Notamacropus eugenii: one gene and its partners. The protein of the gene in region 3 binds, or shares a complex with, the protein of the main gene of each other region. Links are inferred from orthologs where the notes say so. Each region holds a gene or a part of one and is shown on either strand. Other genes may lie near its edges.

Region 1 (7,569 bases), on a different chromosome or scaffold from region 3:
CTCTCCAAAACTGAAACTATGAGCCAAAAATAAAGCAACCTCAGTTATCTCCATGGTGTAGGACATCCAGAATTCAAGAAAAGGTTTTAAAAAACCCAAATGCACAAACTGATGCTCACTGACTCTAAGCCTATTCAACAGCCCTCTTCTACGTCCCAAGCTACCTGAAGAGAGGCTACACTAGCATACCCAAGGATCCAACACAGGCTTACAACAAAGCCCACCACCACACCCTAGACCCCTCTCCTTTCTTCCAGTACTACAGAGACCCTAGCTGCAGGATGCAGAAGTTTCCCCTGGTGGAGACAAATGTCTAACATGGCTACAGCCCTTCAGGAACAAATGTCTGATGGGAACCACAACCCCATAGCACCAGTGTTGCAAAGCTCTGAACTGCCATTCCTGGGTAGACAGCCTCATATAAGCAATGCAGTAGCCCTCTGAACTTCTAGCGAAGGGCCAGAAAACTAAGAAACAGAGAGAGTGAGACAAGCCACCAGGACAGCACACCATGTGTGGTAGACTATGCAGCATTCCACTAAGCCTGAGGGAAAGAGCACAATGTACAAGTGGGGTCAATTCTGACCACCCAAAAGTCACCCAGGGCAGAGTCCTAGGCTGAAGAATCATGAGTTGCCTAGCATGGGAGAAGGCTGAGAGATCTTTTAAAACCCAGCCTCCAAAGGAAACCATCATCAGAGGGGGCAGAGTCAGAGGAGAATAGGGGAATAAGACTGAAATATCCAGAGAAAACAGGAAGATGAAAACTCAAGACCTTGACCATAAGCAGTTAAATCAACAGGGAAAACAGTAACAACAGAAGGAATTATTTCCTCCAGATCTAGTAAACAAGTTCAAGAATCCATGAATAAATACTGCAAAACAGAAGAAAATGATCAAACATTTGATAAGCCAGAGGACCCTGTGGAATGGCAGGAGAGCATGAAATCACAATATGCTGTTAATGAATGGTTCAAAAGAGAAATCAGAGCAGAATTTATGACCTGCAAAATAAAATAAAATGGATGGAATAGTAAAACTGGTATCTGCCATGGCAAGTCTCACTTGAAAAACAAAAGAGAGAACAACAGATTGGGAATGTAAATATACAGAAGTGAAGGACAATTTAATCTGAGAGAAGCAAAACCAATACCTTCATAAGAAAATGTGTGAATTATGCATGTAAAACTTAAAAAACTATGTAAATGCTAGCTCTTATTACTCAAATGTCCTATGTCATGCACAGGACAGCCAGTGGTCCATGAGTTGTCAGCATTCCCCTAATCAAAGGTAGACACAGTACTTTATCTGGTTTTGTTTAACCATAAAAGTGAAGGCTTTGGATAGAAACAAACTAAATTCACCGTGCAAACTTGCAAGGAATGCCCCACACTTTTGGGTGATGCTGCTCTGTCCTCCAATGTCTAGAGATTCCATCTGGCTGTTTTTGTGTCTGACAAGGAAAGAATTAATATTCTTTCAGTCTGGATAAGTCAAGCATAACTTCCATTCATTGTCTAGTCCCCACCCACCCACCTCCATTCCCCCAGTGTCCATGAATGCAAGGTGATCTCTGTATCCTGTGGTTTGGTAAAGATTGTCATTATTCAGCTGCCTAACTGTCAAACTGTAAACCATCTGTGCAGCCTGGGAAAAGCGTAGTGAGGATACTGCCAATGTCTAGAAAGGCAATACTGGCCAAATTCAGACAGTGGCACAATGTGTCATTTACAAGAAAGATGTAGGAGATCTGTGAGGAAGAGTAGAATTTTTAGTGATTACTGAATTGATCATTATAGTAACAGCTAACATTAATATAGAGCTTTAAGGCTTGTAAAGTGCATTATATATATTATCTCATTTGAACCTTGCAAAAAGGTGGGTGTACTATTATTATCCTTCATTAGAGATGAGGTTAAGCTATTTATTGAGCTATTTACACATTTAGTAAATATCTGAGGCAAGGACTGAAGCAAGGTCTCTGTAACTCCTAGCTCAACACTCTCTCCACTGCTCCACTTAGCTCATTTTAATGAGTAAACAGAGTAAACAAAGACACTACAACGTTCTTGGCACCAAGCTTGTTATTTTGACAGATGTTCATTTTTTATTATTACCCTAAGTAATATATTATCACATTGCTTTTTAAGAATAGCCAGAAAGTTCTATTTGTATGAATACCTACCATAGTCTCCTGTACAAAACTGGAAACCCAATCATTGTCCCAAATAGAGGCTCTTGTTTTCCTTTTTTGTTTTATTTTTGTAAATTGAACCATCTTGAAATATTATTTGTTCTTCCACACATGTTGCTCATCAGAATAGGCATTAACCTTGAAATTTTAGTTGTTTCAGTCATGCCTGAGTCTTCGTGACCCCGTTTAGGGTTTTCTTAGCAGAGATACTTGGAGTGGTTTGCCATTTTCTTCTCCAACTCATTTTACAGGGTGAGGAAACTGAAGCAAACAGGATTAATTGTCTTGCCGGGGGTCATACAGCTATTAAGGGTCTGAGGCCAGATTTGAACTCACAAAGATGAGTCTTCCTGACTCCAAGCCCAATGCTTCCTTTTCCTAGGCTAATTTCAGAAATCTGGAATGTCTCTTTTAAGGAAAAATGGAAATATTATATCTCTAGGACAAGGATTCCAGCAGGTGCTTCAGTTTAGGGAGAGCATGTAGAACCCTGAGTTGAAGTGGAGACTCCATGCTAACCTCCTAGTCCAGGATGCCCTTGTTCTTGTGTGTGAGTTCTGACTTTCCATATTGCACATTTATTCCCAATTGATCTACACTACAACTCCCTGAGATGAGGAATCTGGAACTTCAGAAAGGTTAAGTGATTTTCCCAAGATCACAAAACTAGTTAGTTCAAGAGACAGAACTCGATATGGTCTTGGAGTCAGAGAACTCTGGGTTCAAATCTGAACTCTGTGACTTAATAACCTCGGAAAAAGCATTATACGTCTCTTGGCCTCAGTTTCTGTACCTGTAAAATGAGGGGGTTGGACCAAATAAATCTAAAATCTGATCATCCCATGAACTCATATCTTTTTTAATTCTGTGTAGTCCTCTATCCACTATGGCTTGTTGCTTCTCTGAGATGATTCAAATTGATTAGATATGTAGGCACAATAGACAGTTGGTGTGATTTGAGGGTCATCAGAAAAACCACTTGGCTCAAATTATTCTTCCATTAAGATATGTTAGGGGCTGAATTTCTACCATTAGGGATTCATTGCTTTTGGCTAAGCACTGGACTCTATAAGCATGTTCTTTTAAACTAAAAATATATCCAAAGAGAAAGATATTATCAATAGCACCTTGGCATGAAATCAATTAGCAGATTGATAGGAGGGACCTAAAATCATAATCAGATTTCTAAGGGACCTGAGAAATCACTTACTCTAAACCATTCCTTTAACAGTTGAGGAAACTGAGGCCAAGAGAGGTAACGCCCAGTGTTGCATTTCTAGTAGGTAACAGAGGTATGACTGGAACCCAAGTCTCCTGATACCTAGTTGAGTATCCTCCACAAGAGACCTGGGTCCTAAAATAGAACAAAGAATATGAAAAAGGAGGAAGATGACCGACTTTTTCACTTCACAATTTTACCCAGGGCTAGATCACTGTGCAAGGAGAATCCATCTTGCCTTTTCCCACAACTGGGACCATGCCTCCTCCAAGCCCCCAAGGAAAGGCCTACACCCTCATCATATAAAAATGTACCATTTTCCAACAGACCCCAGAGCTCAAATCCACTCTTCTGGCTTCCAGTTTTGAAAACTCAGACAATCCTTCAACCTCCTTCGTTAAACACTAACAGGCACCTAAAATTCACTTCATGACCTCCTGCTCACTCAGCCATTTCCAATAACGGAAATAATATTAATGCTGAACTATTCCAGCAGACAAACACCACAGCCGCTGCTCAGTCCACTTTTGGAGTAATCTGCCTTAGGATATGGTTTCCAGGAATGCACTGAATCATAAAGATAGAGGGACACTTCCACCTGGAAAATCTGCTCAGTAAATGTGTCACAAAGAGAGGTGGAACAAACAAGCGTGTCATGTTCTTTTTCAATGGGTTTTATCCTCCCAGCTCCCCAAAGACCAAGAGCAGGAAATCTTTGTGTTCTGACAACAAATATGATTTCTCTGAAAATGACCAAGAATGAGAAAATTGCTCTGAGTCCCAGATTAGAAATGGTTTGAAATATCTCGGGGTTTGGCAGTTATTTCTGAGGCTTGTTGAAAAACAAAAACCAAACTGCCCTGGAACTGCCCTGAGGAGAGAAAGGAAAGAAAAGGGGAAAAAAACAAACCAAAGATTACCACTAAATGCTGAGACTGCATGCTGGAAGGAAGGGGAGAGGGAGCTGGCAGAGTGAAAAGAGAGGAAGGAAGGGAGGGAGGGAGGAAGGGAGGGAGGGAAATAGGAAGAGAGGGAGTATGAGGAAAGAGAGGCAGGGAGGGAAAATGAGCCATTCAGTTATTGGACTGGTGGGCAGGGAGCTTTTGATCTGACTGTTCTGGAGCTTTAGATGTCTGCTGGTTATTTTGTTCTCGTGCCAGCGGGTATCTGTGAGCATGTGGAGTAAAGGGGACTCCGAGGGACTTCAGACATTAGGGATTGTGGTGGTGATATGCTCCTCTCTGAAACTTTTACACTACCTTGGCCTAATTGACTTGTCGGATGGTAAGCAGACTGATAAGTTTTCATTCTTTGTGAATGTGGTTTCAGATGTTGCTTGCTAGGAGTGTGTGTGTGTGTGTGTGTGTGTGTGTGTGTGTGTGTGTGTGTGTGTGTGTGTGTGTGTGTGTGTGTTGTGTGTGTGTGTGTGTGTGTGTGTGTGTGTGTGTGTGTTTTAAGTGCCCTGGGTATGGGGGACAGTCAGGTACTTCCTTTCCAGCACGCAGATGTATAGATCCCTATCTTTTTAATGCTTGTTAAATATGGATGGGAATTGGAGGGAGGTGAGACTGGCTATGTGTGAGATTAGAATACTACCATTCTCCTACAAGGAGGCAGGGAGCAGGGGAGCAGGGGGGCAGGGGTAGCAGAGTTCTATTTCACTCTCCCTGATATAGGTGTATTATATCTCTTCTGGTTATTTATTGGCTGTCATGCCCACTGAATGAGTCTATGATGAACAGTAACTTTTAGAGAATATATGTTTTCAGCTAACTTCTTGTTTTAAGACTGATGCCTTTTTTTAATCTTTTTTTCTTTGACTTCCAATATGATGCCCCTCCCTCCCCACTCACTTCCATTAATTTCTAATTCGAGCCTCCCATCCACTGAGATGATATATAGCCATAAATCCAGGGAAACAGGGTATTTAGAATTAGAAAAACTAGGGCAGTTGAGCTGCAAGACTTAATTAAGGGGCTGAGGGAATAAAAATCTTATTCAGCCACATTTTTTTTCCAGGTAAAGGGCAATTCATTGCAATGCAATCTTCTGGAAATACATTTTTGATGGTCAAAGTGTTTTAGACATCTAGAACGATTCCTATGTTAACGAGCTACACAGAGAAACAGCTCACCACAAGTTCACTACATGTGTAAAAAGAAGTGGATTTTTTTTCCCTGAGAATGACAGAATGATGTGAAATGTTCCCAGAAACACTTATTTGAATTACCAGAAAATACCCGGCCAAAGATAAAGAATGAGTTATCTAGGTTCGTATTAGCTAGCTACTGGTGGATTGAGGAAAGGAATAGATTCCATTGAACTATTACCCTATGGTTGGAAAGCTGAAGCACATATGGAAATTTTCCATAATAAACAAGCCTAACATGAAAAACTATTGTGAAGAATTATTCAATAAAGAGTCATAAGACAAAGATTCTAGGCCCCTCCTGCTTTGCCACTGACCAAGCTTTGTGATTGAGAACAAGTCACTCCTGGCTCTTCAGGCATTAACTTCCCAAAGGAGTAGTTAGATTAGGTGATCACTAATATCCTTTCCAATTTGCTTAAGTATATACATAGACAGATAGATATACATATGTGTATATATATATATATATATATATATCGATATAGATAGATGTATACCTTCCTTTCCCTCAGTTAGCTTTTGTGTGTGATTCAGTGCTCTACTACCACATGTTTCTGAAAGGGACCACAATTCAGAACTTACTCTGGATGTCTTTACCCCTCTCCAGGGATAACTTTCCAACTTGTTCAGAGAAATTACTCACAAAAGAAGAGCCTGGGGATTTTGCCGGGGTGGGGGTGGGGAGGTCATCTGGAACTCATTTTCATATTAGGTGTTTCCACCTTCATTCCCCAGAGGTAGAATTTAGGGCTTTCTAAGAACACAGTTAACTCAATTACTCCTGTACAGTTTCAGCCATGTTATTTTCCCAGCCAAAGCAAATCAGGGATGTTAGTGAGACAAGGTGATTGTACATTATACTTTAACTTGACAACACAATCATGTTTTCTTTTGGTTTTTTTATCCGGTTGGGAACCCAATACCATAAAACCAATCTAGACAGCTTTCCCCTCCCCCTCGACATTGTATTTGTAACATACCATACTGCTAAGTGGGCGGCTAGGTGGCACCATAATGCACAGAGGCTGGACCTGAAGTCTAGAAGACTCATCTTCCTAAATTCAAATCTGACCTCAAATACTTACTAGCTATATGACCTTGGGCAAATTATTTAATCCTGTTTGCCTCAGTTTCCTCATCTGTAAAATGAACTGGAGAAGGAAATGGCAAACCACTCCAGTATCTCTGCCAAGAAAATCCCAATGAGGTCCCAAAAAGTAAGACACAATTGGAAAAAACAACTGAACATACTTACTGCTAGGGGATGCTGTGGATAGAGTATTGGACCCGGGGTCAGGAAAATCCAAATTTAAATTCAGTCTCAGATATTCACTAGCTCTATGACCCTGGACAAGTCACTTAAATTCTATTTGCCTCAGTTTCCTCAACTGTAAAATGGGGATAATAACTGTACCTACCTTGCAGGGTTGTGGTGAGAATCAAATAAGATAAATCTTACAAAGCACTTAGCATAGTACCTAACACAATTCGATGCTCTATAAATGCTAGGTATTATTATTATTATAACATGTACTGAGACTCATGGATATCCTTTTACTATGTGCTTCCTAATATCATTTTTAACTGGTATACCTACTATATGGAGCTCCTCCCTTCACAGAGGTCTGCACTCTGCCTCTAGTGTATATCTGGGACCTATTTGGGCCTAGTTTAGCTCTGAAGGTCACTAGTATGGCACTGGAGGACAACAAGTCATCCTTTTGATATCCCTGAGCTTGCTTGGTTCTTCTGGAAAAACTAAATTGCTTGCCTAGACTTCTATGGTATATAGAGTGTATCTATAAGAAAAAGTCAGCATCTGCATCCAACCTAAAGTTGCAGAAACTCAATTTCTTGGTTTTAAAGCACATGTTCCATCCTCAGGCAATATAACCTTTCATTTTGGCTGTCAAGCACACCATTATAACAGCTGGAGGGGGAACATCTGGAGAGTTGGTTGGAGGTTTGACTTTTCTTCTTGATGTCTTGGCATGCCAGAGGCAC
Region 2 (7,264 bases), on a different chromosome or scaffold from region 3:
TAAGACAAATTCAGTTATGTATATAAATATGTATGCAATTCTGTGGCAGGTTTATCCATGTACATATTCTTATATGTTTACTTTATGTCTATATTTGTGTGTTCATGCATCTATCTCAGAAGCTAGGTTGAGGTAATCTCAATGAGTTTAGGGCAAAACTGATGAAGGTATGAAAATGGCTATGACCATGAGCTTTATGAGGGAATACAAACATGAGCCATCACAAAAAGGGATTGTAGTGGAGACGGTTAGGGGTAGAAGGAACAAGCTGTACCTGCTCTCTGCTCCTGGGACCCCATCACATTTTTTGGTCTATATTGGGGTTTCCCCTTCAGGTCCCATAGGACCAGGCTGGTGTCAGGTCTCCCAAGAAAAGTAGAGGAGAATTCAGGGTTCTAGGTGCCTATTGTTTTACCCCAGGCCCTGCTCTCCTACTGTTTCTAGCCTGGGCCTTGGACAAATTGGGGAAGATAGAAGAGGACTTAATTACCACCTTATTAATAATTTATTTTTCCCAATTAATTAACTATCCCATTAGAGGGTCATCCTCTCCACCCTGTAAAAATGGAATAACATAACAAGGGCCAGCAAGGGTTTAAATATTTTTGGTGAGAGGACCCACTCAACATATTCAAGGGTGATCTTGGACTAGTTGCTTCCATTCTTTGGACTTGTTTTCTCTGAAAATGGAAACAACAATCCTTAACTTTTGTTGTAGGGCTAGCAGGATATAGCTGATGGGGCCCACTTTAAGAAGTAAAATAGAAAGTTCATGGTTGGAAAGGGTAACTGAGAGGGTAAGAATGAAGGCAAAGCTGTAAATGCGAAGAATGGAATAGAAATTGATGGGCTTTTCCCAGAACTGTCGCTGTCCACAGTGCTGAAATATGTGATCTAGGACAAGAAGACGGGCTCTGAGTTTTCTATAAAAATTACAGAAAGGTTTTGTTGTTTTGGGCAGATAGAAGTCTGTTCTCCAGGACTAGGCCTGTCTTAGTATTCACTGTGGAGGAGGTCTCTCTTCCAGGACTAGGTGCTGGGGAGACAAACCTGAGGCAGAGATACTTTCTTTGTCCCCATCTGAAGGTGCAGGGAAGGGAGGAGACTTTCTGTACCCTCCTGGATTTGACTGGAGACTAGGCTGGGGTAAGGGCAGCAGAATCTGTTCCTATTCTGGACTTGGGCCTGAGAGGATTGGTTTTCTGTCCCCATCTGTGATTGGAAGTGAAAGTCTCTTAGTCTCTATTTAGGTCTTGGGGTGGGGGTAGGGGCAGTGGAAATCTTTCTGTCCTAGGACTGAGTCCTTGAGGAGAGGCTCCCTGTTCCTCCTGCCCTGTCCTGGTACTGGATGCCTTTCTGTTCCCTTGTTGATTGGGGGTTAGAGAGGGAAGAAAAAAGAGGTGTTGCTCCTTCTGTCCCAGATCTGTGCGTGTGTGTGTGTGTGTGTGTGTGTGTGTGTGTGTTCCAGGTTCACTGGAGTTGTCTTTCTATCTTACTATCCCAGGTCTGTGTGTGTGTGTGTGTGTGTGTGTATGTGTGTATGTGTGTTTTCCAGGTACCCTGGAGTTGTCTTTCTATCCTACTGAAGATCTTTCTGTCTTTCTATTCTACTGTCCCAGGTCTCTGTGCCTTTGTCTATATCTATATCTGTGTATGTGTTCAACGTTTCCTGGAGTTGTCTTTTTGTACTATTGTCCCAGATCTGTGTGTTTGTGTGGGTTCTTAACATTTTGGTTGTTGTTGTTGTGAGCCTCTTTGGCAATCTGGTGAAACCTGTGGACTCCTCAGAATGATTTGTTTTTCTATCCTACTGTCCCAGGTATCTATTCGTGTGTGTGTTTGTGTTTGAGGTTCTCTGGAATTGTCTTTCATTGCTTCTGTCCTAGGTCTCTGTCCTTGTCTATGTCTGTGTGTGTATTCAAAGTTTCCTGGAGTTGTCTTTCTATACTATTGTCCCAGATGTGTGTGTGTGTGTGTGTGTGTGTATGTGTGTGTGTATTCAAAGTTCCCTGGAGTTGTCTTTCTGGCCTATTGTCCTAGCTCTTTGTGTTTGTCTATGTGTTTCTGTGTGTGTTCCAGGTTTCCTGGAGTTGTCTTTCTATCCTATTGTCCCAGGTCAGTGTGTGTGTGTGTGTGTGTGTGTGTGTGTGTGTGTGTTTAAAGTTTCCTGAAATTGTCTTTCTGTACTATCGTCCCAGGTCTGTGTGTTTGTGTGTCTGTGTGTGTTCAAGGTTCTCTGGAGTTGTCTTTCTGTACTATTGTTCCAGATCTGTGTGTGTGTGTGTTTGTCCAAGGTTTCCTGGAGTTGTCTTTTCATCCTACTGTCCCAGGTCTTTATATGTTTGTCTATCTGACTGTCTGAGGTTCCTCGGAGTTATCTTTCCAGCCTACTGTTCCAGGTGTGTGTGTGTGTGTGTGTGTGTGTGTGTGTGTGTGTGTGTGTATGAGAGAGAGAGAGAGAGAGAGAGAGAGAGAGAGAGAGAGTTCAAAGCTCCCTGGAGTTGTCTTTCTATTCTCTTGTCCCAGGTCTCTGTGTATTTGTCTGTGTGTGTATGTATGTATTTTTCAGGTTCACCGGAGTTGTCTTTCTACTGTCCCAGGTCTTTGTGTTTGTCTATGTGTGTCTGTGTGTGTTCCAAGTTTCCTGGAGTTGCCTTTCTATCCTTCTGTCCCAGGTGTGTGTGTATGTGTGCATGTGTGTGTGTGTTTGAGGAGGATGGGTTGAGGTTTGGTATTGTGCCAGGTCTCTGTGTCTTTGTCTGTGTCTATGTCTGTGTGTGTGTTCAAGGTTTCCTGAAATTGTCTTTCTGTACTGTTGTCCCAGATCTATGTATTTGTCTACGTTTGTTTGTGTATTTCCAAGGGTCCCTCTAGTTGTCCTTCTGTCCTACTGTCCCAGGTCTCTGTATGTTTGTGTGTGTGTTTGTGTGTGTGTTTGAGGTTCCTTAGATTTGTCTTTCTTTTCTATTGTTCTAGGTGTCTGTGTATTTGTCTATGGGTGTGTGTTTGTGTGTCAGCGGGTGTGTCTTTTCGAGGTTCCCCTAGATTTGTCTTTCTGTCCTATCGTCCCAGATCTGTACCCTCTCCAGGAATTGTCTCTTCGTCCCTGCCTTGAGTCCTGGGAAGATTCTCTCTCCCCCGTGGTAAGAAGTCTTTGTCCTGCCTGGGTCTTCATGTTTCTCTGTTCCTGCCTGGGATCCTTGAGAAAGAAACTTTTATTCAACCTGCTTGGGGAGGAGAGAAGGGGCAGGGGTCGTGGGGAGGGAGCGATGAAAGATCATGCTTCCTACAGACAGGGGCCAAGGTGCTCTTGCCAGTAGTGATTACACGCGTTCCAAGGGATGGGGCGCCCTCGTGTGGCAGACGGGCTGCGCGCGGGACAGGAAAAGACCAGAGGAGCCTCGGATATTAAAGGGAGTCAAAGCGGATCAGAGCCTGGGGTCCTGAGTGCGAATCACTCATGTCAGATCTCTGCACTGCCGGCGTTACCCAGAATCTTGGAGTGGGTCGGTGTGGTGGGACTGCTACAGGGACCCGAGGACTTAGTTTTGAAGTGTTGTGGGTTTGGCGGGGAGAAGGGAGTGGGCTTGGAGTGAGCAAGGGTAGAGACGGCAGAGGGGAGCTCTGAGGTGACAGAGAAACCTTAGAATGAGGGAGGAGACCCTTGGAAGACACAAGAAGCTTAAGGAGGAGACAGAAATCAGAAGACTGAGGGAGGCAGAGAAAGAAAGGGATTCAGAGAAAAACAGACGAGAGACAGGGTACGAAAATCAGAGAGGTGGACACAGGCACAGTCAAATCACCTGTCACCTCCCCCTCACCGCGCTTTTGTTGTTTCTAATGACAACCATGCCCCCCAGGCCTGACCTCCTAACCTCAAAATATCTAGGGGGTCGGAAACCCGGGAAATAGAGGTGGAGGAGCGGAAGAAAGGAAAGCTCTTCCCACTTCCCACCCTCACCCTGTCTCCCCTACTCCAACCCGCAGCCATCTCCTTCCATATACTCCCACTGAGGAAATAATCAGAGACCCGACATTTTTGAGAAACTTTTCCCCAAGTATTGGGGTGGGGGATGGGAGACTATGTCAGGAGAGAGCTCCGCCTTCCCCAAAGACCTGCCCTCCCCCCCACTGAAGCCAATGATCCCTCTTCCCGACAGCCAGTTCTTTCTTCTCCCAGGAGGGCTCAGAGGCCAGAGCCACCCACTTTTGTGGGGGGCCAGTGGCTAAGGGATGGGGTGTGTCGGGGACAGCAACAACAGCATGAGCTGGTGCCCGGTCAGCTGCCGGAGCCCCCTGGGACATGCTGCCCGATCCCTATTCCAGTTTGTGACCGGGACACTGGCGCCAGGTTCGAGGGAGGAAGGGAGAGGCCACTGCTGGATTTGAAAGACCAGAATTAAGGAGTAAAGGTGGGGGGTTGGGACCGTAGGACCCCTGGCAAAGGTGCCAGGACTCAGGGCATCCAGCATCTAGGGCTTAGAGTCTCAACTGGTGAATATCTGACTGGGAGGGTACAAGAGGTGGGGCTGGAAACACATCATCTGGGATGGGAAGACAGCCTCAGGGTTGGTGAATTTTATAGGTTTGTGTGGCCTTGGGAGTTTGCCGGAGCTGTGTAACTCTGAATTTATATAGGATTGTATGGGTCGGATTGGATTGCTTAGTACAGGCATTGTACTGCAGTATGTGGGAAGTTGTATAGCATTCTTTCAATATGTGTGTCAGATTTGTTAGGGTTGGGGAAGGGGATGTTTTCTGTGTCATTGACGTGAGGGCTGTATAGCTCTGGAGTTTTGTGGCATTGTGTAGCACCAAAGTTAAAGTTGTGTAAGTCTGGAATTATATAGCATTCATGAGGCTGTGTGGGTTGTACTGTCCTCCATTGTGTGGCTCTGGGATTGTGTTGGGTTATCACAATTATGGGACGTTTTGTTAAGTTTTGTACCACTGGGTTTATGCAGGGTTGTGAATGACATATGTAGAGTTGGGAGACTGAAGAGTTTCCATTTGTCCTAATCCATTATTTGGAAATACAAATTCTGAAATGTCTTGTTACGCCTCTCTTGTAAAGACTAGGGCAGTCCAGCCCCTAAAATGCTGGGGTTTATAGTTTCCAGGCTATATCAGAGCAGGAGGTTACCTGGGGTCAAAGTTCTCCTATCCTGGAGACCCTCTAAGAGCTGTTCTTGCCTTTACCTGGGGCTTCTGCTGCCTAGTGCTCCAACAGGGAGTTGAAGGAGTGCTTAGAGATCTCTTGGTGGCTCATTCTCCACCCCTTACTGGGACCTGTCAGCTGATGATGGATGGCAGAAGCCCTGCTTGGCTAACTCTCAATCACCAGGGCCGTGACTTCCCAAAATAGCCCCACCAATCTCGGAAGGTCATTAATAACCTAGTCTAGCAACTGGGATTTGAAGTGGCCTTACCCTGTCCTAGGAGGGAGGGACCAGAATTGGGAGGGGTGGGTGGAAAGAGGGAAGGCATAGAGCCTTTTGCAAAGATTCCAGGGCCTTGTTCAGGCTCCTACAGCCAGACTCCAAGGGAAGGCAAGGAGCTACAGCTAACTGGGAAAGTTCTTCTGGCAGCTGAAACTGGCCCTCCCTACTCGCTGATCACCTCCCACCTCCAGGACCTAGCAACAACCAATATCTCATCTAAGTGATGGAGGTGTTCCTCCAACTTGCCCCACTTAGCAAAAGTGACTTCTAAGTTCCCAACTTTGAGGTGTGTGGGATTAGATTAATGACAAAAACCCAGCTGGAGCCCAGAGTAGGAGATGGAGTACATGGGAGTAATAATATGTCATGTATCTAAGTGATTTAAGGTTTACAAAATACTTTCTTCACAACAAGCCTATGAGGTATGTAATGTTACCAACTTTTAAAAGTGAGGCTCAGAGAGGTTAGTGACATGCCAGAAGTTCCAGACTCATAGAGTTGGGAAATATAAGGGCCAGGAGTTGAATTTGGACCTTCTGAGTCTAAGTCATTATTCTTTCCATTACGCTATGATACTCGAGATTTCAGGAGAAAGGAAAGTAGAGGGTACCTCTCTACTCCCCCCCCCAATAAAAATTTTTACCTCATCCTTCTATCACTGATACCTACCATTATGGGTTGATTATTATCTTCCATTAAGTAGAGTTTAATGATGAATCATGGGATATTTAGGAAAGGAGTTGTGGGTGATAGAGGGAGAATAGCCTAAGGGTCCCTGGAACAGTAAGGGGCCCTGAAGATGTACTCTAAATAAGTCTCTCTGATGGTTGCTGAAAAGGATAATAATAACTGTCCTTTCTCCCAAGGTGCTTATAGTCTAGTAAGGGAGTTAAGACCTGTGCATCCATGATTTAGGAACCAGAAGAGAGGGACAATGTGTTCTGGAGGTTCAGAAGGAGAGGTCGCTGCTTGCTGAGGGGATGAGAGGAACTTCCTGAAGGAGAGGGAATTTGAGCTGTGTAACGAAAGCAGGTAGGATTTCAACAAACAGAGCCATTTCAGGCTAGGGAATATATCTTGAGCAAGGGCAATGAGAAGCTTGAGGTACATTTGAGGAAACGTATGCAATCCAATTTGTCTGTGATACGTAGTAGGAAATAGTAGGAGATAAAGCTAGAAAGATGAATTGGAGCCAGATTGTAAAGGGTTTTGAATTCTTATCTGAGGAGTTTATACTTTGTTCTATAGACTATAGAGTAATTGAAGGTCTTTAAGCAGGTAGGTAGGATTATTGGAGCTGAATTTTAAAGTTAATATTCCAGCAGCTGCATAGGATATATTAGAAAGGGGTAAGAATCTGAAAAGAAGGTAGAGGAGACTAAAGATACAGAACTAGAAATGGATTGATTGAACATAGGTGATGAGAAAAGGGGAATATGATTAGATATAGTCAGGCAGTAAACTAGCTTTTATTAAGTGCCTATTGTGTGCCAGGTACTGTATTAAGTACAGGAGATACAAAGAAAAGCAAAAGACAGTCCCCGCTGTCAAGGATCTCACAGTCTAATGGGGGAGATGTGCAAGCAACTATGTCCAAACAAGATATAGACCGAAGAAATTGGAGATAATTAATAAAAGGAAGGCACTGGCATTTAGGGTCATCAGGAAAGACTTTTTGTAGAAGGGATTTTAGCTGGGATTTGAAAGAAGCCAGGGAATCAAAGCGGCAGAGATGAGAAGGGAGAGTATTCTAGAGTGAAAATTCTCAGATTTTGGAGCCGGAGTATCTTGTACAAGAAATAGCAATGAAGCCAGTGTCAGAA
Region 3 (7,161 bases):
GGGGAATGACAAGTATTTTTTATAAATTTGACTCTGTTCTCTATAAATTTGAGAAATGAGACCTTTATCAGAGGCCTTATTGTTGCCAGATTTTTACCAGTTTTTGGCTTTCCTTATAATTTTGGTTGCATTGGTTTTACTTTTGAAAAAAAATTTCTAATTTTATATAATCAAACTTATCTATTTTATATTTTGTAATGCTCTCTATGTCTTCTTTGGTCCTAAATTCTTCCCTTATCCATAAATCTGACAGATAAATTATTCTATGCTCTCTTAATTTGCTTATGGTATCAGTCTTTATGTGTAAGTCATGTTGACCTTATCTAGATTGAAGGCATTTTACAAAATGTTTTCTTGTATTAGAAAGTAAGGGGTCATGGAGGTAGGAAAATCCAAATAAAACACTTCCATGTCTTTAAATCCTCAGGGCTAACTTTCCCTATTCAGTGAGCCTGGGTTACTTTCTCAAACAGGTCAAATAAGCAATTTAGCAATTTCCAGGGGATCCAGACAATTATTGCTCTCTCCCTCACCTCCAGAATCTCTTCCCTCCAGTCTCCACAAAAATGCAAAAAGGGGCAGATTACTCCATTGATTAAATGTCTGACTTTGGGGGTGGGGTGTGGCGTCTTCTCCATTTAACCTGTACTTGGTCCACATAGGAGCCCTACCTTCAGTATAACCTCACAGGTAAGAACTGATTTCACTCTTTGAGCATTCTATAGTATGTCACCCCTTGCTAGGCACCGACAGCTCACCCACAGCCAACCCTAGTATGCATTCCTACAACAGGCAAAGGATCCCGGCCCCGTTTCCAGCCAATGGCGCTGCATACGCCTTGAATGTCAGGTTTTTACTAGGACGTGTACTCTTCCTAAATGGAAAACCTGAAGCTATTTTTGTTTTTGACAGCAGAGTTTGGCAGCAAGAGGGGGGGAGAAGTGGGGGTTGGGGAAGAGAGACACCCCCTGAAACGACAAAGATAAAAAGCACAAGAGAAGGGGAATAGATTTCTCCCTGCTATAAAAAAAAGTTGCCAGCACAATTGCCAAGCTTCTCTTCGGGGTGGGAGAGCATCGCCCTGGGGTTTAGATTTACTTAAGGCTTTAACTTCCAAACTGGGTTAAAGCCTAAAATGCCAGTCACCTGGGTAAGAGTCCATCCAAAGGGAAGTCAGAGAGCAAAGAAGTCAGTTTCTGCCTGCACGGATTCCTGATTTGTAATCTGCCCCGCCCCCCATGAGATAATATTCGTAAAGCTCTTAGCACTGTGTCCAGCACGTAGTAGGCACTATTTCATGCTTATTCCTTTCTTCCCTTCCCTCCGACCATCATTAAAGGGGTGGAATTTAAGGCAAGGAGGGAAGGGAAAGGATAATAAATTGGAAAGTGCCCTAGTTGACCCCAGAAAGCAATTCTTGAACTTGACTAGGTGAACCATTCCCTTGACCCCAAAAGGCTCAGACCATCTGATCCAGAGAGACTCGTTTCTCCTACAGTGCCGCTCCTAGGCCAGCCAGAGCACTCTCCTAAGTGTTTTTCCTTCCTCTTCCACAGCAAAAGGGAAAAATGACTTCTCTCTCCCCCTTGTTACATGCATTTTATCCCACAAGTAGCCTACAACCAGAGATAAACACATCAAGAAATATATTTGAGCCAACATATCTACAATATGTAAATATGCCCATGGGAAGGTAGGATCACCCTATTTGCATACATATGCAGAAACATTTATGATTACAAAAATCATGCACATGGAAACTTTAGGTGCAGGGGCACAAAAGATGTGTACATACATAACACGCAAAATGTATACTGTTTGCTATATAACATATATTTGTTTCCTCAGGACACTTCTACGTTCTTTAAGCATGCAAGAGGGTGAGGAGAAACCATCCATTCTCTAAAGCAATAAAATGGAGATTTTCCTTTACCAGTAGATTCTTCAGCCTGTTGCTTGTATTTCTGTCCCGACCCCAATAACAGGAGGAGGCTTTTATACTGGGCTCAAGTTCAGCATCAGGGAAAGTAAATCAACTCAACTAGTCCAGATGACTTCTCTTATCCTCTGACCCAGTCCTCTGTAAATACCTTAGAAAATATACCCTTTGGCTCCATCTGCCCAAGTCTCGAAGAATCAACCTCTGATTTTAATAGAACCCCTTTGAGAGCGGAAGGACGGAGCAGGACTGGGACAAAAACAGCTGTTCCAAGCCCATCTGACTTCTAGGAGCATAGAGTGCTAGGCTCACTCCGGGCTGGAGAACTTTACCAAGCGCCCTGATTCATTCACTCTCCCTTTCTTCCCTTGCTCCCCTCCCTCAGCAAGCAGGAGTACAGAATCTATCCCATCTGACACCTCTCCCCAACCTGAGCTTTCCGAGCGATCAGTCCCTCTGGGTCCTTAAGGGACAGGGGCCACGATAGAGGTTCCTGGCCCCCAAATGAGAGCACAGCTTTAAGGGATAAGCAGCAAGTGAACATCTAAGCAGAATGCTGGACCTCCAGGCTATCCGCAAGGGAAGGGCGCCCCAGAGTCTGCTCCCTACCCTTCCTCCGGAACCTGGGGGTCGGGAGCGGAGCGCGGAGCACAGCGCCCCCCGCCCCGCCCCCCGCACTCCCCAGCCCTAGTGCCCAGCCCCCAGGGCGTGGGGGAGGGACTCGAGTGGGCAGCTGGAGCAACAGGCGTGGGAGCAACACCTGCGGACCCCTTCCCTCCCCCACCTCGTCCCTTTTACCCCACCCCCAACCCCAATTCCTCGCCCTCTCCTCTTACCTTGGGCGCAGAAAGCCCCCGGCCCCTCCCGCGCCCAGGGCTCCCGGGGAAGCTGCAGCCCGGTGCCCGGAGCCGGGGTCTGGCCGAGGCGGAGGCAGCCCCAGCGGCTCGGAGCCGTGAGCGTGGAACGGTAGCTCGCGGTGCTTCTAGGCGAGGTGAAGTCCGCTCGCTCGCTCTCTCCTTGCGTCCGCCAGGCACTCCGTCCCTCCTCCTCCCCCGCCGCCTCTCCGCTCCGGGCTCGGCAGCGCGCCCCCCTTCCTCCTTCTTTCCTTCCTTCCCTCCCTCCCTCCCTCCCCGGCTGCCCGCCTCGCTTGCTCCTTCGCTCGCTGCCCCCGCCAATCCCGGCGTCGCGGGAAGCCGAGACCAGCGGGCCACCGGCTAGATGGATAGGTCCCTCTCCCTAGGGGGGAGGCCGCGGGGGCGCGGGGCGGGGCCAGGGGGAGGAGGGAAGCGGGGAGCAGGAGCCGTGGGTGGGGGGGATGAATCTGGAGACGAAGACCGCAGGCAGGCTCCTTGGTGCCCGGCGGGTCCGGGCAGGAAGAGCTGCCCCGGCCACAGGCCGGAGAGCTGGGCGCTGCCGTAGCCGCCCGCGAATGGAGAGAGGCGGAGGATCGCTAGCCTAGCGGCCGGGAGGAGGCCCGGGGGCGAGGGTGTGCGAGGGGGAGTGACTCGGTATGCCTGTGCGAGTGTGTGTGTGTGTGTGTGTGTGTGTGTGTGTGTGTGTGTGTGTGTGTGTGTGTGTGTGTGTGTGTGTGTGTGTGTGTGTGTGTGTCTGTGTCTGTGTCTGTGTCTGTGTCTGTGTCTCTGTCTGTCTGTCTGTGTATGGGCGGGTGTGGTGCGCGCACGAGCGAATGTGGGGGAGAGAGAGCGAGAGCGAGAAGCGAGGCTCAGTCTTAGCCTTAGCTTTCTTTCCTTGTGCGTCTCCCTGGGTGAGTGGAGGAATCCGACTGTGTGACTGTATCGAGCGGAGTGTGGAGCCACGAGTGTGAGTGCGTGTGTCCGTGTGGGCACCGGGTGGGGGGAGGGGCCAAGCCAAAGTGCCAGCATGGGTGTGTGAAGCCGGGAATATCCGGAGTATGCTGTGTGTCAGAGAGCACGGGTATCCGTGTGCTCTCGTGGTTGAGGCTATGTGGGCATGTAGGTGATGGTGAAGCTGTGCAAATGAATGTTTGTATAGAGCTGACTGTGTCCACACGGGAGCGCCCCCACCATCACCTGCCTGTGTTTTGACCCCAGCCACCTGGGGAGGCGTCACCTTCGAGCTCCTCTGGGAGTACACTTCTTCAAGCTCCAGGACTTGTTCATCGAATCAAAGCACCGCACCCAGCAGCCCTCGGAGAAGCCCCAGTATTGGCACTCTCTATGCCCCACTATACAACGCTTATACCTTTGCTCTTTCAGGGTGAAGGGACGCCTCTTTTCTTAAAGGGCATGGCTGCTCCGCTAATGGTCCGTTTTGAGAGAGCACAGTATGGTCCGTGTGAGCCTGTTTCGAATCCCCCTTTGCATGTCCCAGACTCGAGGGTCCGAAGTCCGGGCTTCAGAGACTGAACAACCTCATCACTATTCCTGGTGCTTGCACCAAGCTCCCCATCCCCAGAGTCGGACGCTTACCTACTGTCCCTCTGCCCCATACCTTGGGCTCTCAAACCCACGCCCTGATGTTGAGAGGTGAGTGGAGAACGTGGAGAGGCTATACGAGACTGGCCAACTCCAGACTCCCCCTGCAGGGGAGGATGGAGCGTCCTGGAAGAGATTCTCCGACCACTCACTGGTCTCTGGGGTCCGGCAATCTTGATAGGTCCCTGGGGTGCTCAGAACCCAGGGTTTGGGAGAACCTGTCACTTCTCTGGTTCTCCCCAAGAAGATAAAAAAGAGAAATGGCTTCTCTAGGTTGAATGTGTGTGAGAGCGGGTGTGTCTGTTAGGGATGGAAAGGGATATTGATACGTCCTCAGAAGTTCAGTGTGAACCCAAGGTTTGGAAAAAGAACCCACAGGATCATGAAGTCTAGCTTGAGGAGGAGCCAGAATTTTCATCTGATCCCTTTAGAAATGAGAGTCTTCGGGGTAACTGGACATTTGACTGGGTGATGTATTGGGAAACTTACATATTTTCCTCCCACTTTGGAAATGGAATAGAATTCGTAACAATGACCTGCGTACCTGGGAACTTTGTGTGGCAACCAGGCAGCCTGGAAATTTGCCCGAGGTTTTATGAATAATACCCCTTCCCGGAATTCCCCTTTCTCCCTATACTGCCACTCTTAGATTATTGTAGTGACACCAACCAGGCAGCAGGGCATGGGTGAGGATGGGAGACGAAAAGCACCATATAGCAGGTGGGTGTGGACCAGAGGGTGAGGTTGCCAGGAGTCCCAGTGCTGTGTTTGATTAGCATAATGATTTGCATACCGTAATAATGATTAACAACAGTGCCACTCCCTGGTAGATACGGGAAGGATTCAGGGAGATCCTTTGCAGTTTTCCTCTTCCTTTCCCTTCTCTTCCTTTCCCCACCCCCCAAATCCCTCCTGGGCACAACTAATTTTCTAGCAAGTGGTTTGAACTAGGGACTTCGTCTCCTCTGGGAGGATGCTCCTTAACCCTTATAAACTGGCTCAGAGCTCACAGGACATCTTCCAGTACAGTCTCCAAGTACATTTACAAGTTAGTTGTATAATCCCTGACTTTTCTTATTCTTCTTTTTATTATTACTATTAAAAATCATTCACATTTCTTTAACACTTTAAGCCTTACAAAGTCCATTTCACATTAGCTACGGAAGGTAGCTTATACAAGTTTTCCAAATGGGACCACAGAAAGTTCAGAGAAGCTGACCCACTCAGAGCCACACAGTTAGAATTAAGTGAAAATCAAATTCAGGCCTCTTGAGTCCAATACCTGTTTCCTTTCCACTCCACCCACCTACCCACCCTTGATCTAAATCTTGAGAGACTTTATAGTATTTCCATGTGTAGGTTCCTATGCTTTGAACTGGAGTTCATTATCTATTCATCTATCTATCTGTATGTATGTAATATGTGCCTACACACATATGTATGCATATGCATATATGCATACATATATACATATGTACATATACATATGTATGTACGCACCTCTTATGGAATTGTTCTTGAGGTGGGTATCTTCACTAATGGGGAGGTAGGTAGAAGGGAAGGAGAAAGTAGGAAAAAACTTCCTTCTAAAAAGAAACCTTAAGTAATTGACTGCCATCTCTTAGGGATACTTTTAGAGCTAACCTGTGATTTCACTGGAGTAAGGAACTCCATCTACAAATGTAGTTTTGTGATTATTCTGCGACTATTAGTCTTAGAGAGGTGCCCAGAACACTGAAGGGCTAAGTCACTTGTCCACACAACTACTATGTATCACATGTGAGACTCACATCTTCCTACCCACAATATGAAGCTGCCTCTCTCAGAGAGAGTTTAGGGGAAGGAATTAGATGACTCTTCACATACCTCAGAGCCTCATGATTCAGAAAAAAAAATAATATTTTTTTTCCTTTTCCTTTCCTCCAAAATGACGGGACAACAGAAACAACAAAAAACACTTTTATTTTCTCTTATAATCAAGTGGCCTAGAGAACATGAGATTAAAATGTCTAGGACAAGGCTTCTTGGAATGTGAGGCAATCATAGATTCTCTTCAGCTGTAAAATTCTTAGAGATCATCTAGTCCAACTGTTTTATTTTCCAAAGGGCTGGAGCAGTTGAATGATTTGCCTAAGGTTCATACCTCTGATGAGAGGCAGAGTTAGGTTATGGAGCCCAAGGTCCGTTCACTCAGGGCCACAGCTCCTTGAACACCACCCGATGCTTCTTAGGCTTGTGCAGCTAGTTAGGGCTCTCCCTTTTCCTCATTTTCCCAGAGTCTCCCAGTCTCTCTTTGGCTGCCTGTCCTCACCTTTTCTCTCCTTTGCCTCTGGCCTGGCCGGGATTTTCAGTTGCTTTTCCCCCATGACTCGGCCGCCTTTCCTTTACTCTCAGCTTCTATTTAAAAAGCTAATTTGGGAGCTTGGTCGATGCTCCCAATTCAGGCATTGTAAATGGGAAATGAAAGTCAGAGAGTGTCTTTCTCCAGAAGCTGCCGAAGTCCTGGCTTTTTTTTTTTTTTCTGTTTGCCACCAGCCTGGCTGTGGCATTCGGGAGCTCCTGCACTCCTGTCTCGGCTGCTTTTAACAGGGGTTTGTATGTCCTTTCCAACCTGGGCACCCATGAGAATGACTCTCTGACTACTCTTTGTAGAGCTTTTCACTGTTGGCACCTCTGCTTGGCAGCCTTGCGGTCAAGCTTGAACCTCCTGGTCCCTGACAGCTATACCACCAGCCTGGTGTACTTCCCAGCAGTCCCAACTTCTAC

What was found.
Region 1: the proteins of KCND3 (region 3) and KCNIP1 are in contact, whole or in part, in a crystal structure (PDB 2NZ0), measured with the Homo sapiens proteins. The link is inferred for Notamacropus eugenii from reciprocal best matches to the Homo sapiens genes KCND3 and KCNIP1. Residues at the interface, in NP_001365898.1 of Homo sapiens: Ala6, Ala7, Trp8, Leu9, Pro10, Phe11, Ala12, Arg13, Ala14, Ala15, Ala16, Ile17, Gly18, Trp19, Pro21, Val22, Pro26, Met27, Pro28, Leu29, Ala30, Pro31, Lys34, Lys36, Arg37, Asp39, Trp54; in NP_001030009.1 of Homo sapiens: Leu67, Arg69, Gly70, Phe71, Glu74, Val80, Phe85, Ile88, Tyr89, Phe92, Phe93, Tyr101, Leu105, Phe109, Phe122, Ala125, Leu126, Leu129, Leu130, Leu138, Trp140, Thr141, Leu144, Tyr145, Ile161, Val162, Ile165, Tyr166, Met168, Met169.
Region 2: the proteins of KCND3 (region 3) and KCNIP2 are in contact, whole or in part, in a cryo-EM structure (PDB 7W6S), measured with the Homo sapiens proteins. The link is inferred for Notamacropus eugenii from reciprocal best matches to the Homo sapiens genes KCND3 and KCNIP2. Residues at the interface, in NP_001365898.1 of Homo sapiens: Val5, Ala7, Trp8, Leu9, Phe11, Ala12, Arg13, Ala14, Ala15, Ala16, Ile17, Gly18, Trp19, Met20, Pro21, Val22, Ala23, Asn24, Cys25, Pro26, Met27, Pro28, Leu29, Ala30, Pro31, Asp33, Trp54, Arg60; in NP_775283.1 of Homo sapiens: Arg112, Gly113, Phe114, Asn116, Glu117, Cys118, Val123, Phe128, Ile131, Tyr132, Gln134, Phe135, Phe136, Tyr144, Leu148, Phe152, Phe165, Leu169, Ile172, Leu173, Arg180, Trp183, Ala184, Leu187, Tyr188, Met201, Met205, Ile208, Met211, His228.

The regions. Positions count from the first base shown.
Region 1 is NC_092872.1:402,378,092-402,385,660, forward strand, and holds the start of KCNIP1 (A-type potassium channel modulatory protein KCNIP1), read left to right. Parts: upstream 1-4,504; 5' UTR 4,505-4,588; coding exon 4,589-4,697; intron 4,698-7,569. UniProt on the Homo sapiens protein: Regulatory subunit of Kv4/D (Shal)-type voltage-gated rapidly inactivating A-type potassium channels. Regulates channel density, inactivation kinetics and rate of recovery from inactivation in a calcium-dependent and isoform-specific manner.
Region 2 is NC_092872.1:179,987,650-179,994,913, reverse strand, and holds the start of KCNIP2 (A-type potassium channel modulatory protein KCNIP2), read left to right. Parts: upstream 1-4,162; 5' UTR 4,163-4,233; coding exon 4,234-4,351; intron 4,352-7,264. UniProt on the Homo sapiens protein: Regulatory subunit of Kv4/D (Shal)-type voltage-gated rapidly inactivating A-type potassium channels. Modulates channel density, inactivation kinetics and rate of recovery from inactivation in a calcium-dependent and isoform-specific manner.
Region 3 is NC_092873.1:290,858,508-290,865,668, forward strand, and holds the start of KCND3 (A-type voltage-gated potassium channel KCND3), read right to left. Parts: upstream 3,026-7,161; 5' UTR 2,776-3,025; intron 1,934-2,775; exon of another isoform or gene 1,849-1,933; intron 1-1,848. UniProt on the Homo sapiens protein: Pore-forming (alpha) subunit of voltage-gated A-type potassium channels that mediates transmembrane potassium transport in excitable membranes, in brain and heart. In cardiomyocytes, may generate the transient outward potassium current I(To).